Arabidopsis thaliana: one gene and its partner. The protein of the gene in region 1 interacts with the protein of each later gene in a pairwise test. Each region holds a gene or a part of one and is shown on either strand. Other genes may lie near its edges.

What was found. Proteins that work in one complex are often made in the same cells at the same time.
Region 2: the proteins of AT1G20950 (region 1) and GSTU2 interact in a two-hybrid assay, tested with the Arabidopsis thaliana proteins (one large-scale study listed by BioGRID).

What each region holds. Positions count from the first base shown.
Region 1 is NC_003070.9:7,294,745-7,304,958, forward strand, and holds AT1G20950 (Phosphofructokinase family protein), read right to left. Parts: upstream 6,890-10,214; 5' UTR 6,593-6,889; coding exon 6,503-6,592; intron 6,217-6,502; coding exon 6,044-6,216; intron 5,944-6,043; coding exon 5,831-5,943; intron 5,738-5,830; coding exon 5,663-5,737; intron 5,569-5,662; coding exon 5,455-5,568; intron 5,369-5,454; coding exon 5,301-5,368; intron 5,220-5,300; coding exon 5,136-5,219; intron 4,994-5,135; coding exon 4,940-4,993; intron 4,752-4,939; coding exon 4,671-4,751; intron 4,576-4,670; coding exon 4,482-4,575; intron 4,389-4,481; coding exon 4,315-4,388; intron 4,227-4,314; coding exon 4,116-4,226; intron 4,025-4,115; coding exon 3,980-4,024; intron 3,888-3,979; coding exon 3,831-3,887; intron 3,710-3,830; coding exon 3,605-3,709; intron 3,517-3,604; coding exon 3,400-3,516; intron 3,302-3,399; coding exon 3,192-3,301; intron 3,107-3,191; coding exon 2,941-3,106; intron 2,837-2,940; coding exon 2,723-2,836; 3' UTR 2,495-2,722; and 1 more. Other genes in the region: AT1G20940 (F-box family protein), read right to left, coding at 530-1,774; emb1507 (U5 small nuclear ribonucleoprotein helicase), read right to left, coding at 7,847-10,214. UniProt on the Arabidopsis thaliana protein: Regulatory subunit of pyrophosphate--fructose 6-phosphate 1-phosphotransferase.
Region 2 is NC_003071.7:12,628,540-12,634,416, forward strand, and holds GSTU2 (glutathione S-transferase tau 2), read right to left. Parts: upstream 2,783-5,877; 5' UTR 2,694-2,782; coding exon 2,373-2,693; coding exon of another isoform or gene 2,368-2,372; intron 2,200-2,367; coding exon 1,843-2,199; 3' UTR 1,659-1,842; downstream 1-1,658. Other genes in the region: GSTU3 (glutathione S-transferase tau 3), read right to left, coding at 127-480, 628-951; AT2G29485 (uncharacterized protein), read left to right, coding at 2,051-2,192, 2,368-2,435; GSTU1 (glutathione S-transferase TAU 1), read right to left, coding at 3,054-3,407, 3,501-3,821; AT2G29500 (HSP20-like chaperones superfamily protein), read right to left, coding at 4,740-5,201. UniProt on the Arabidopsis thaliana protein: May be involved in the conjugation of reduced glutathione to a wide number of exogenous and endogenous hydrophobic electrophiles and have a detoxification role against certain herbicides.

The DNA.
Region 1 (10,214 bases):
AAATGTAATTAGATTCGAGAATTGGTTTAAATAGGAAGGAGATTATTAAAAAGGTATATTCCCTCTTTGAGCACTCATGTTTTTTCAACGGTTCTTTTTTTCTTTTTTCAAAATTCAAAACTGGAGCGTCGTCATTAGTTTTTTTTTTATGTTCTGTTTTTAAGTGTGACGTGGAAAAAGTGAATAACCAATGTTTGTCAACATCCGGAGACGGTTTAGCTACACGAAAGGAAAAAAAAAAGGGGAGAGTTTGTTTTTTGGTCAAAAGGTGTGAGTTTGTTGTTAGATTCGACAAAACACACAAGATGGGCCTTTATTGGGCAGGACGAAAAATTGACAAGCCAGAGAAGAACAAGTTCTTAAACAACATTGTCTTAAATGATTTTTTGTCCCAAAAGAAATAGTAATATACAACTAATTTTTAGATTTGAAATACATAAACCATAATAGTGCAATGATAAAAGCAAATGGGAAACAAACATTCTTATAAATCAGGACATTTTTTGTATAATCTATAGGCCCTAAATGTTTACTTGGTGGTATCAATGAGTCCCATAATCGAATTTATATAGGAGATGCGTCGGTCATTAGAAGCAACAAGCACCTTCTGTTGCTCATCCTCCTCTACAAAGAACAAGGAGGGCGTCAATTTATAGAAATCTCGGACGCAATTGGGCCAAGCAAGGGTTGACACCAAAACTCCCCAACTGTTAGCTTCCATGTCGTACACATGAAGAACACTTGCCAAAGGTTCTAAACCCATCTTTTTCACCCTCACCACAAGACACTTGCCATCGTACATAGCTATGTTCCAATATACAAGCGTTTCTTCCTCGATAGATATGTTCTTGATCCGCCTTGTGAGTGTCCATTTGTGATTCTCGACAAGTGTGTAAACGGAGATTGTTTCTATCGTCCCCGAAATTAGGGTCAGGCGATTGATCTTAACGCTTTCCGCGAAAAGTAGCTTCGTATCCGGTTCCCGATGAAATATGGAAGGAATCAAGCATGCTTGCTCTGTCTCGGGATTAAAAGACATGATGCTGCCATCGTTTCTCAGCCAGTGAAGAGTGTTGTCCAAGTAAACAGGTTTCATCCGCGTAGTGAGATCACTTTTTGAGCTAGTGGTGATACTCGTTTCCGATAATCTCCAAGAGTCTCCTTCGTTGATCTCGAATCCGTATACGTTTTCCATCTCGAGTATGCCCACGATCTTGAATCTCTTGGTTGTTAGATTTCGATTTACCGCAAATCCAACGCACATCGCTCGTTCCGTACAAGCAACATTACCTCCAGGATAACTAATTCCGCTAAGACCTTTAAGTCCACCATTAACTATCATTGGTATAAGCTTTGATCCAGAATGATCCAGGATTCGAAACCTTTTTGTTAAGGGATTTGCAACAAAGAGACAACCAATGTACAATAGGAGAAGACCAGAGCATGAGCCGAAAATGTAACAATCCGCACTACCATCAAACAGTTCTACTCCATTTCCCGGTGACATATAATCGCATGAAGAGACCAAAGGATGGCAACATACATAAGTAGCGCCATAGCTACCAAGGTTAAACAAACTAGGTCTGACCCATGAAGGATATTCCGGTCCAAATCTTGGATCACTTAAATATGATTTGATAGAATTGTTAGTGCATCGCATCATAGCCATAGATTTGGGTTCTAATCTGAAGAGAATCTCGTCGAGAAGGTCTAAAGGTAAATCATTGATGATGGAAGATGAATCAAATTGAGAATTTCTTGGCAAATTATTCATGATTCTATTTTGCTTGGCGTATGTGAATATTTTTGTGTTATTTTCAACATATATATATATATATATATATATATATATATATATATAATAATAGACAACATATTATTACCAAAAAAAAGTAACAATCAATTCTAATCAAGGATAATCTCAGTATCTCACCATTATAAGAAAAATTCAAATACAACATTAATATAAATTTAGTTAAATTTTTGAATGATTTTGCAAGATAATTTGAAAATCAAATATTAATATATATTTTATAGGTTTGTCATTTTGCAAAATAATCTGTTAGTTATTAATTTCATTAGTTGAACAAAGAAAATTTACTAATATAAAAAAATGACAAAATCTAATATCTTTTAATGATAAATATTTCTTAATATCTAAATAATTTCTTCATTTAGTTTCTAATTTTTAAATAACTAACAATGTATTTAGGCTAAAGATAGTTTTTAAAATAAATAAAAGTGTATTTATGCCAAAGCTGTACCTAAGATACTGTCAAAAATCTATCAAAATTTATAACTGGGATTTGGGAACATGACACGTCATTGGTTGTTAAAGTTAGTTTGCAAGATACACTGTATTTCTAGTATTTTGGTGTAGTTAAGATTAAAAATGTAACTCTTAAAATTTTAATGATTCTTTTTGTAAACAAAATCGTGTTCAAGCGATGCTATTGCTATATGCATCATGCATGCATGCCTAATTGTCATATTTAAAAAAAGTTTGTAATAATAGTGAAACTGAAAAATAAAAGTTGGACAAGGATTGATATGGTGAAATAGCGCCTCTATAATCCAAACCTTTTCAATTTTTATGTCTTTCCAAACTCAATAACTTAAAAAATACAACAAAAGTTACATCTCAAAAGAAAGAAAACAAAAAGAAGAGAACAAACACGACGTGTGTGATTCATAAGAGCTTTGTCCTTAAGTTTTAAGCAAATCATTGACCACCATTTGAAGAAATAGTAGTAAGAACATCAGTCACCGAAGCCATCACACTCAGTGCTGCCTTCAATACGTCTTGAGAACATCCTGGTTTCACTATCGTCCTCACCTGACCAAACCCCAAAAATGTTAATAAATATGAAAGTGGCGAAGAACATTATTCGATACTTGACGAAATTAGCAGAGAAAAACACAAAAACAAAAAGTTTTTACTTGGTCAAGATATTCCTGCAGCTTCTTGATACGTCCCATGTAATCTTGATCTTCAACACAGAGACTCACTGCTTTAGCATCCGCACCAGGACCATCGTACTGTAGCGGTCCTGGGTTTCTGTACAGATCTTCCATCAAGAATTTTTGTGCATTCTGTCTCAAGAGGCTGCAAGAAAACCATTCACATTCAAACAATTGATAAATAAGGCCAAACGTGAGTGTGTTCATGTTTTCTGTAATAGCTGACTTACTCGTATGCTTTGCCTTTCAAATCCACCATAGCTGGATGAATTGCAGGTCTACCAATTGAAGTTAAAGTATAACTAGCATCCTGGGACCAATGCTTCACCGTCATCATCGCCTAAAAGGTAATACCAGAGATAAAAGAATGGGGAATTAGTATAGAAATACACTGTATTAACCGCCGTCTTTTAGATAGAAAATACGACAAAACTCAACTGTAATAGGTGTAGCACCACATTTCCACTTGTTCACAGGACTTTTTAGGTTGGTCACTGTTGCCATGTAACCATTCAGACCAGCTGCAAGGATGTGGTAACATATATGTCCAAGAACCTGCATGATTCTCCCATTCAATAGTGTTAATATTCATCTAAATTATGAAGTTGCATTGGTACTGTGGCACAGACTGTTAGTGACTTACGTAGGCGTAATCACAATCGAATTTCGATGGAAGAGATCCACGAGCTTGGTAACCAAAAAAGTGACATATGGCATTGAATTTCTTCCCCTTGTATGTGCCTTCTTTCTGTCAAATTCAAAGATTTCATTACATTAGCAATAGTATTTTTTGATGCCAAATAATGACTCCATTATTTAGATAACAGTATTGGGAAAAGATAGAAACCAATGATAAAATTGGAGCATACCAAGCGCTTGTTCATTTCAGTCTCCACGAGATACGCAAGAAGTTTCTCTGTCTCAATCTAGAGTAGAAAGCAAAAAGAGCATTTAGGATTCCAACTTTTTTTTTATAACATAGTAGGTCCAAAATATTCTGTTTGTTCTTCATAATTACCTGGGATAGCTGAGCAGAATCATCAGACTCAGGATGGAGAAGTAGCTGTAGCAAGAAAGGCGACCATCTTATATGTATTAATACACCTTTGCTTTGAACGAAAACAAAGATAATTCTAATTTCAAAGAATTTGAACCTGTTTCTTAATGAATGGAGGAAGAAATTCAAACAAAGCAGATGACCAAGGTGAGAGCTGAGTAGAAATCTTATCAGCAGATACACCCTGCCTCAGCAGCCCGTGAATTTCCTACATCAAACAAATGTCAGCTTATACGTGATTTATACTAAGAAGTACATCTCAGTATTGAAGAAAGAAACAAGTATCAAATCATTACCTTTAACAGAGCGTAGACTTCAGGAATACTGACTATAAGCCCTTCAGGAATGAGGATGACTCCATGATTCTTGTCTGGTTCAAACAAATGAAATAGTACCAGATTTAGTAAACACAGTAAAATACATGATTGCATAATCTAATCATAGATGGTTTTCATTACGAGACCTTCTACTGCTCTTGCTTGAACAGCATCACAGATCTGTTTAGCAATGTCAAAAATTGTGAGCTTAGATGCTGCAACCTCCTCGCCCAGTATCACCTGAGACAATCGGATGACACGATAATGAGAGTCTAGAGCATGAACATGCCAACAGAATCAATAGTCTATGTTTCGAAACTGAAACAGTTACGAACCATGTTTGGATGAGACTGGAGTGTACACTCAAGGGCAACATGAGAGTGCTTACGACCCATGAGGCGGATGAAATAATAATACTGCAAATAAAAAAGAAAGTAGAACTTGATATCAGAATCATAAAGAATATAACTTTGTAGTAGCTTTCTGCTTTCACATCCTTCATCGAAATATTTCGTCTTATCAGAATATGAAGTTAATAAACTGCAGTTAAGAATGCCCTAGCAATCTCTTGCAACATGAAAGTTCAGGAAGAAATAGCTTTTACCTTCTCTGCAGAAAGGGCATCAGTGCAGGCATTGCTAATGAGTTGTGAGTTCACCTGTATGCCGCAAAATATCATTAGCAAACAATAACATATAGTTTCTGCAAAGACTTACGAGGGACAACGGCATCATGTTGCTGCAATAGCTACAAAAGATAACTAAGACAAAGTAACCAGATGGTTAAAGTTTACATTTTACCTTGCATATGGTGTCAAAACCCACGTTTGCCTCCACAAACTGATTTTTGAGATCTCCATTTGTAGTAACTGGAACACCAACCACCTGTAATTTCATAGGAGCTTAATTACCGTAGCATTTTTATAAAGGAATTTAAAATGAAACTGTAGAAAAAGAAATTAGGACCTTAGTTGAGCATTTTGCAGCAGCAAAAAATTCAGCGAGATGAGCTGCATCTGTGTTTGATATTACGCCTTCAAAAACCACAATATATATTCTTGGTTTAGTAAAAATTAAAGACAAAAATTTGCCAATGAATATAAGTAAAAACGCTAGGTACCTCCAATGATAACAAGGCCATCTAACTTCAAATCTGTGCAAGCTTTGAGTGCAGCGTTAACCTGCTCAGTTGTTTTGATCTGATCCTTAGTTCTTCCGAGCAAATCATAACCACCTTACAACATACATTTCAACACCAATATATCAGAACTTGAAGCAATGAACGGGAGATTCTGCATTTGACGACAATGCCTTGATCAAACAAGTACCTTGGTTTTTGTAAGTCTGAAGTATATCATCTGTAATCTCTAGAGTCTTTTGTGCAAATAGACCCTCGGAACCACCTATTATCAGTCAACAACAAATTTTACTTAAGTCTAACAAAAAATCTCTAAACTGGCAAATGATGCAGTTGTATAAAAAATAATAGAACTTACCCAAAAATCCTAGCAAAGTGCTTTTTGCGTTGTGCACCTTGAGAGCCTCGAAAAGACCCCAGATCACATTATGTCCACCTGGAGCTTGCCTTCCACAAAACACAATTCCAACTCTACAGTAGAAAAAGAACTAACTTAAGCTGAATAGAACTTAAATCAAACACAAACGCCAATCCAGAAACATATAGATAGAGAGCAAACAGATTCACACACCTAACTGAAGGAAGCTCGGTAATGATGTGCGCATCAGGAACTTGAGCAGTTTCCCTGAGGAAGTGAGCCAAAGGCTGGCCTAAGGTATGCGGGAAAGCACGAGCCATGGTATGTGAATCAGCAGCTTCAGCCACAGTGGTTCCATCACCAAGCTCCACGCGGACAGTAGTCCCCTGAAACGAATTTCAAGCAGAATAAGAAAATGACAAAGTTCAACTGATTAAAGCTGAAGAGACTGCCAATGAAACTTAGGAATCGAAATAAAACAGATCCGAGAACAATACAATCTAGAAATCAGATCTGCTTAAGGAGCAAAGTTCATCGAATTAAGATAAACAAAAACTTGGAATAGTTGCAGAAATCCAAGAATGATAATATTGAATAAGAAACTAAGTACTCAAATAAATCCAATGATAGGAACAATGGAAGGAAGTAGATCTATGAAGTAGAAGAAGGGACCTGGAGACAAGGAGGAAGCTCAGGTTTGTACTGAGATCGAAGTTGCTGAAGAGGGGAGAGTTCTCTGGGGATTCCGAAATCTGAATCCATGGCGTTAGGTTTTATGTAGAAGAAGAAGAAGAAGAAGAAGTGGTTGGTGTGGTGTGAGACTTCGAGTGTGACTTTTTTTGGTTCTTGTTAATAAACTTCAAAATATATAGTGAGGAGGGAGAAGAAGAAAGAGGAGGAGGAGGAATATACTACCAACCAAACACCTCCGTTTCTTTCTTTTTGGTGTATCGTTATATGACTTTTTTATGAACACAACAGACTGTTTTGACTACATATTGTTTGGACAAATATTTTGGTTGTGATTTTGCAAGTTTCTATTGATCACGTTTACTTGGTTATAATGCAAGTTTGAATGAATTTTTTTTGTTTGGTTTTTACTTGCAATAGTACATTTTAGTTTTAAGGAAAAACTATCGGTGACTCAATAAGCCAGTATCACACAACTCAGATGTTACAAAATGAACACTGCTGCATTTAAAATTCTTTCAAGTAATCTCAGCTTTCAAAGTCACAAACTCAAATTGTAGTTTTGACATTGGCTCCTCTGTCGAGTTTGGTCCAAACAAAACTAGAAACAAGCCATACATAGGATTAAAAATCGATGCACGACATAAAAAGAGTAATTGGAATAGTAAAAGACCAGAAAAAAACGATTACACCTTAATATATATTCTCAGAGAGCTAAGATTGCAGAGACCCAAACGGTACGGAGGCTTTTTGGAAGACAAGTCACACTCTCCAGAATCAGCATAGCCTGCAAAGAAGAGAAATTATGTGTCATTTTCTGGATTTCAAAATACAAAATCTATTATCAGCTATTTTAAAGGAACATCATGTGAGATTTTTATGAGACATGATTCAAGAAAGCAGTTTTCATATAGCAGTGATGCACACATATCAAATCACCATCCAAAGCACACATCAAATCACCATCCAATTATACAGATTTCTAACAATTTGCTGATCAACATTGTTCACTAACTTATCAATCAATCATTTCACAATACTAGGTATATATATACCATGAGCATACCTGTATTCTAATACCTAGATAAGTAAATCAATGCTCAAGAGTAAAACCTAATACATAGCTCATGCAAAAAGAAAACAGACGAAACAGAAAAATAGCAGATTGATGAACAAATTACTCAAACAATAGATGAAAGCGAGTTGGTCAATGCACATAGCAGAATCTAGTAAAGCCAAGTTCGTAACACAAAAACTACAACCATGTACAGAATCTAAATCCGAAAACTATGACCAGAAAACTGTGGAACTAACCTGAATAACAAATCATTCTTCCATGCGATCTCCAGCGCCGGATCCTTTGACATCAACAGAGAACGAGTACTCTTGGTCACACCCCAAGTAAGAGTCACACATGAAGTATAGTGTGTATGACTTCTCTCCTGGTTCACTCGGTGCTGTGAAATCCAGCTTCACCTTCACTTTCCGTTGCAATGAGACACGCTTGATTGCCAGCAACTGGTTTGTCTTGGTGTCGCCCACGACCAGCCACCATCCTTCTTCTTTGGTCTTGGGATACCTCAGTGAATCCACAGGTCCCACTTCTGTCCTCCCCTCCATGTCTCTCTCAAGCATCACTTGCAATGTAACCTCTTTCCCTGGGTTCACCTCTTCACTGCCCACAATCTCGTAAGTAAGGTCGATGTTTGGGAAGCGGTTGCAGAATCTGGCAATGTCTAGAAGCTGAGCGTCTGACATCTTGAGAAGCTCTTGGCGTTCTTCATCCTCCATCTCCACAAGATCGAATACGGTTTCAATGTTTTTCCCTGGATTCTCCTGGCACCTCTTGGCCAAGTCTTTTGTGAAGTGAGGGAGCTGCAGAAGCATGGAGTCCCGCTCCCACATGCCTTGAGTCACCATCTGGCTTACTTCCATAGCTAGCAGAGCAAGATTCAGCCAGCCATTGCTTGATATCACATCGACCATCGCTTGAAGAAGTCTGGTTGCAGATAGAAGGACATCACGCTGATCCATTGCCAAGTTCCCGCCAATGTTTTGCCTTGAGAAATGCGCCTGAAGAAGCGCGTTTGCCTTCACATGAGGGTCTGTGCATTTTGGGTTTTCAAAAGAGAACCTCTGGTGATTGATTAATCTTCGAACGGTGTCCTCTTCGCCAGGCCGTATAGGAATCATGTCATACTCTGAAGCCGATGTTAAGATTTCAAGAAGTCCCTTCATCTTGGTTTTAGAAGACAACAGTGAACTGAAGCGCTCAATGGTGGTATAACTGATGTAATAATAGGATGCAATCATACCAAGGTTGAGAGGAGAGAGTTCCATCTCATCCTCTACCTCAATGCATTTACTGGCTTCAAGATCAGACAAGGTGTTCTCAACCAGCTCTGATAGGTGATCAGACAAATGCCTGTGGCTAACACCTTGGAGATTGTAGTAGTTAGGGTTCTGGGGAAGCCTCCTGTACATGAAAGTCCATGTAAGATAATCCACGGCATCTTGCTTGTTCTCTATAACCCCAGCAACCACTTCTGCGTTGAAATTATCATGCAAGAAATGCTGGAGCTGACTTTCCACAGGGAAGGCTTCGTACAAAAACTTCTTGTAATACTCCTTCCGCGGTGCATGACAAAAGATCACACACTTCCCGGCATTGTCAAGAAGTGGTCGGCTAGCACGCCCCATCATCTGAAGCAGATCAGGGACTGGATAATCAGAATGTGAATTTTCCCTCCCATCGTAATACTGCGTTCCCATTACGACCACCAAATGCGCAGTTAATGGAGTGCCCCAACACAATGAACTGCTCATCACACAAACCTGAATCCGTCCAGCTTCAAAGAGCTGTGTCACAATCTCCTGATCCAGACTGCTTAAACCCTCATGCAAGTATCCAATACCATGACACAGTGTCTCCTTCAGTGTTTCCTCGCGGATTTGTTCAACAAAAGGGTCCAGTTCTTCCAGCTTCCCTAACAAGAAATCAGGACTCTGCGGGTTATCCATGTGAGAATAAGCCATCAGATCCACAGCAGTCAAGCGGACATGTTTACGGGTTGGGACGAAAACAATAGCCGGCTTCTTGTTCTTGGCGTGCTGAACTATGGCGGTGTAGGTTGGTTTGGTCATCGCCTGCATCCTGGCTTCAAAACTGGATATATCCACTCCCTGAATGTGGATCTCCAGTGGAACAGGACGGACTCCGGGAGGGAAGTTGAAAAGGCCGTGGGAACTGGCCCCAATCCACTCCCCAAGATCTTTTGCATTTGCAAGCGAAGTGGATAGCGCAACAATCCTGATCTTATTAATGACCTGACTTGAAATATATCTCATTCTGGAAACGATTACCTCCAACACTGGACCATGTTGACCTCCAATTAGATGGAGTTCGTCGACGATGAAAAGACTAACTTGTTGAACATATTTTCTCTGTTTCCACCTGCGGGAAAGAGCATCCCATTTCTCAGGAGTACTTATGATTATCTGGCCTTTCTCAAGCAGCTTAAGATCCAATGCTGTCTCCCCAGTTAGCTCAACAACCCGTAAACCAAGACCCTTCCCAAACTTCCCCTCCCAGATACGAAACTGCTCCTTGGCAATAGCCTCAAGTGGTGCAATATAAACAACACGCATTGTAGCATCAGGTCCTTCATGATGATTCCTCAAAATAGCGAACTCC
Region 2 (5,877 bases), on another chromosome or scaffold:
ACTGTGGATACATGTATCACACTCATCTTTATTTAGTAGATTGTTCATAAAACTTTTAAATAACAAGACAATACAAATTTAGTTAACAACTTAACATCACTGGATCAAAGAGTATCATGTTGTCTCTTAGACCGCTTTGATTCGTCCTACAATTTTCATCATGTGCTCAATATGTTTCTCTCTATCAGGAATGCATTCCCTCACGATCTCAATTTCTTTCAAATTCTTGATCCATCTGTTTAGCTCTGGAAACTTTTCTTCTGGAATCATATCAATTCCCATACCTTCCCAAGCCCGAGCTAGACAAAACGGGATCATACTTCCCACGACCATGTCCAAGAATCCTATCGTCTCTCCGCCGAATAATTTTTTTCCCGTGATTTGATTCTCAAGCAACATAATTAGTTCTTGAACTTCTTCGATTGCAACGTCAATTCTCTTCTCTGATTTCACCAGTGACCTGAGCCCTATCATTGTGACCTACACGGTAGCGATATATAGCAAACGTTTCATGACTAGAATTATGTGCATATATATTCAATGTGACCGGTAGTTATAAGTGTTTCTCATAATTTCTATAAATAACATCTGCAATGAGTTAATAAACGAATTTGTCTTAAGAATTACTTGTTCATCGACAAATTTGGCCCAGAATCGAGCCATGGCTTTGTCATATGGACTTTGCGGTAGAATAGGATTGTTTGTCCATGTTTGGTCGATGTATTCAAGGATCAGTTGTGACTCGGGTAATATTTTACCATTGTGAACCAAAACAGGGACTTTTTTGTAAACCGGGTTGAGTTGAAGTAGCAACGGGCTCTTGACAACCAAATAATCTTCGTCCAAGTAATCGTACGGCACGCCTTTAAGCTTGAGAGCCATCTCGACTCTACGACTGAATGGGCTTGCCCAAGACCCTATAAGCTTCACACCCTCTTCTTTCTCGGCCATTGAATAATCAATCTCTTTCCCTCTTTTTTATTTTTTATTTAACTAATCTTTATATATACTCTCATGTAAATTGTGCATGATTATAAAGGCATAAAGGAAAAGGAAAAGTCTTTTTTAGGCCATTTACTCCAATAATTAAGCATACTTTTCTAATTAGAGTTGTGAGGAACACTTAATTACAAGTTCAATGTATGTACATCATTCATGTGTATCATCCAAGAACATCTAGAAGGTAGTTGTTCATCATTGCCGTCACTTTCAAATGTGTTCATCATTTATCCTCACGCCTAAACATTTCAGCATGTGTTCAAAATATTAAGAATCCTCAAAAGTCAATATTTATGTCTAACTTTGACCATCTCTCTTTTTTTTTTTTTTGATAAATATTCTTTGAACATGTCTTTCATCTTTCACTTCCGATGTATTAGTTTTGGAGAGATATGTTAAATATTTGTTATTTCATTTCTTGAAGAAATTGAGTTACCAATGCTAATACAAAATTGGATAGACTAATAGAACCAGAATATCACTAAACTGAAATACTAACCAACAATACACAATAAACCAATACTAACCAACCATACGTTAATGTTCTTAACTTCTTATCAAACATCATGTAATCAATACCACACATCATGAAACAAATTAACTCATCATCCTATCGAACTTAGATTTACCATCTTTGCAATTTATTTTCCCTAAACCATAAATCAATATTTGTTATTATAGTTATAATAGGTAGCTTTCAACATTTCACTTTGCACCCATTAATTGATTTCCACTACCAATGCAGCTACATTCATTCTTTGTTTCAAATTTTTCAATAACAAAACGATACAAGCTGCACATAGTCATTATTTTAGAACACAGAGTTATGAAGTTATCATTAATTTAGAACGTAGACTTAGCTCTCTCTATAATTTTCTTCATACGCTCAATATGTTTCTCTTTTGGAGGTATACATTCCCTCACGATCTCAACTTCATTCAAGTTCTTGATCCATCTGTTTAATTCTGGAAACGTATCCTCTGGAGTCATATCAATCCCCAAACATTCCCAAGCCCGAGCAAGACAAAACGGGATCATACTTCCCGCAACCATGTCCAAGAATCCGATCGTCTTGCCACCAAAGAAATCTTTTCCAGTGACTTCCTTCTCAAGAAACATAAGCATTTCTCGAATCTCCTCAATAGCAACATCTATTCCCTTCTCTGCTTTTACTAGGGGCATGAAGCCAACTGGTAGGATCTGCAAGTTATTATACCAATCTATAAAAAAAAGTACTTAGAAAATTACTTTATCCTACAAATAATCCTGATATAAATGCTTGAAATGTAATGAACTTCTAATAACTCTCAAGTGTTTCTCATTTATTTTGCAATCAATATTATAAATCAATTTAATTAGTTAGACTAGAGTACCTGCTCATCAACGAACTTGGCCCAGAACCGAACCATGGCCTTCTCGTAGGGATCGTGAGGTAGAATTGGATTGTTATTCCAAGTTTGGTCGATGTATTCGAGGATCACATGTGACTCGGATAATAATTTATCATTGTGAACAAGAACCGGAACCTTCTTGTGAACCGGATTTAGTTCAAGAAGTAAAGTGCTCTTTTTGGGTAAGTCTTCTTCCAAGTACTCGTATGGTACGCCTTTAAGTTTGAGAGCCATCTCGACTCTACGACTAAAAGGGCTTATCCAAAACCCTAGAAGCTTCACACTCTCTTCTTTCTTCGCCATTAGATCTCTCTCTCTGACTCTCTCTGTCACTTTAAAAACAATATTGTGCTTTTTTTTGTAGTCTCAACTCTCAAGCTTATCTTGAAGATAAAAAAAAAAAAAAAGACATCAGTAAGGTAACCAAGTCACTGCTGAGGTCACTTTGGTTATTTTATTCTTATTTCCTTCTAGTCTTGGCTTTTACAATCTCCAGACACACCACGTTATTTGATTGCTGTAACTTTCAAATAGGTTTTTGATCTTTTTACTTAAATATTAGGTCATTCTATTTTTCGAAAAACTTTAAAAAATAAAAATATAAATAAAAAACGATGCAAGCATATAAATCAAATATTTTCGTAGGCAAGAAGTATCTTTAATTTAGGCAGACTTAATTGTCTCTGCAATTTTGGTCATGCGCTCAATTTGTTTCTCTCTTGGAGGAATACATCCCCTCACTGCCTCAACTTCTTCCAAATTCTTGATCCATCTATTTAATTCCGGAAACTTCTCCTCTGGAATCATATCAATTCCAATACCTTTCCAAAGTCTAGCTAGACAAAATGGGATCATACTTCCTGCGATCATGTCCAAGAATCCGATTGTCTTGCCACCGAAGAAATCTTTTCCAGTGACTTCTTTCTCAAGAAACATAAGCAGTTCCCGAGTCTCTTCAATAGCAACCTCTCTTCCTTTCTCTGCTTTTACAAGGGACCTAAACCCTAGTGTTAGGATCTGCAAGTAAAGAACAATATATAAACAAGCGAATAATATAATATTGTTCTGCATAGAATCAACTAATTAATCTGCAAATCAATATTAGTATACCTGGTCATCGATGAACTTGGCCCAAAATCGAGCCATGGCCTTCTCGTAAGGATCTTGAGGAAGAATTGGACTGTTCTTCCACGTCTGATCGATGTATTCGAGAATCAGATGTGACTCGAGTAATATTTTGTCATTGTGGACAAGAACCGGAACTTTCTTGTGAAGCGGGTTTAGCTCCAGAAGCAAAGGGGTCTTGTTGGGCAAATCTTCTTCCAAGTATTCGTATGGCACGCCTTTGAGTTTGAGAGCCATCTCGACTCGACGACTAAAAGGGCTTGCCCAAAACCCTAGAAGCTTCACACTCTCTTCTTTCTCCGCCATTCGATATCTCTCACTTTTTGGTATCTAACTCCTCTGTTTCTTGCACTACTTTTCTTTTTTATGTTTCGTTTACTTGCTTGATTACTTGAGTTTACTATATTCTATACACAAATGAAGTTATGGGTGGTGAAATAAACAAATAAATAAAAGGACCATTTTGCTTTCTCTTTGTCTTTGTATCCAAGGATATCTTGAAGATCACACCAGAAAAGGACTGATTTATATTTTAAGGTATGCACGTCATTGCCAACGTCATTCGTCTTAGTGTTTTAAGATATTTGACCAACACTTAGTGTTTCTAATCTCCAGTCAATTAGCCGACCAAGAAATAACAAATCTCCAAATGATTACGTTCTACAATTTATATTTTAAGATTCATATGTTGAAAAGTTTAAAACTGAGAGATTAATGTATCGACTGTATTTGTAAAACACACAACTTTTTTTGTTTTGAAGAGTCTATTTTTTGGCCAATTCATTGTCTGCCAAACATTTGAAATGAATGACATTGTAAAACAGAAGAAATATTCAGTTATCAAACAAAATGTTAATCATTTTGAAAGAAATGATGTAATAATCTAAATCAAAATATAACATTTATATAATGTGAACCTTTTCAGTTTTTGGGTTTGATTCCGTCTTGATTCACGGTATCGGTTGATTTGGTTTAGTTAAACCGAAATCGAACTCTAAGCGAAATCATCTCGTCGGTTAAACTTCTTTTGAATTTAGACAAAGGTTAATAATTATTATTTATTCCATACTTCATTAGGATCAAATGTATCCGATACATCATAATTCATAGCTCAATCGGAGATTATTATAATTTAGATAGAGTACTCACACACTCAAGTAAAACATGAACCATAACCATGACAAAAACACAAGCAACTCCGATGATAAAACTCGAACCCATTACTCAACCAGAGATCTGAATAGACTTAACATCAGCCTTCTTAGTCTCAGCCTTAGGCACCGTAACAGTCAACACACCATTCTCCATCGCAGCCTTAACCTGATCCATCTTCACATTCTCCGGCAACCTAAACCTCCTCGTAAACTGTCCACTCGATCTCTCCACACGGTGCCACGTGTCATTCTTATCTTCTTTCTCCACGTGTCTCTCTCCACTGATCTTCAAAACACTATCCTCCTCAATCTCAACTTTAACTTCCTCCTTCTTCAATCCAGGCAAGTCAGCTTTAAACACGTGGGCCTCAGGCGTCTCTCTCCAGTCCACACGTGCGTTCACGATCGCTGAGTTCTCACGAGAAAGTGATGATGATGTTAGTTCCTTGAATGGATCCCATACGTCAAGAGAGAATGGATCAAAGATGTTGCTTCGTCTGTTGTTGTTGAAGAAACTTGGAATCATCGACATTTTAAAGAATTTACTTTTTTTTTTGTTGATATCTTCTTGAGAACTTTGATTTTTCGATTTCTGATAGAACACACGAAGGATTTTTGAAGCTATTTAAAGGTACTAACCGAAATTTCTCGAGCTTCTCGAGTTGTTATGGGGAATACAGAAACATCTAGAGGACGTCTATGAGAAAAATCAGGTGAATCCAGAAAATTCTAGGAGCATTTTGAAGATTGTTTGTGTTCGTTGGGTTTAATGGGCCTTCATGGGCTTTAGACAAATATGTAGTCTTCCAAAAAAAAAACTGGATTTCTACAGATTATCCGGTTCGACTGGTTAACCGAATTAAATTCCAAAATAATTGGACTCTAATCACACTATCCATAAAATCTAAAACATTTTCTTTGTTAATCTGAAGCATTTAAGGCTGTCTGAGTATTATGGGCCATGGGCTTTAAAAGCAATTGTATAACGTGCTGAATTGAATAGAATATTACTAAAAACTGGGCCCATCTAAAGGAGGATTAAACAAATCCAACGGTGTATATTGGACATTGAGCTCCACTAAGTAAGTAGGGTCACAATGACGTAACTTCCCGCGTTCATTACGGAATCTTGAGCGTACGATTCTACTATTGGGCCCATCTTTATAAAAATTATACTGTTTTTTTTACTAAATCCGTCGGCCACAAAA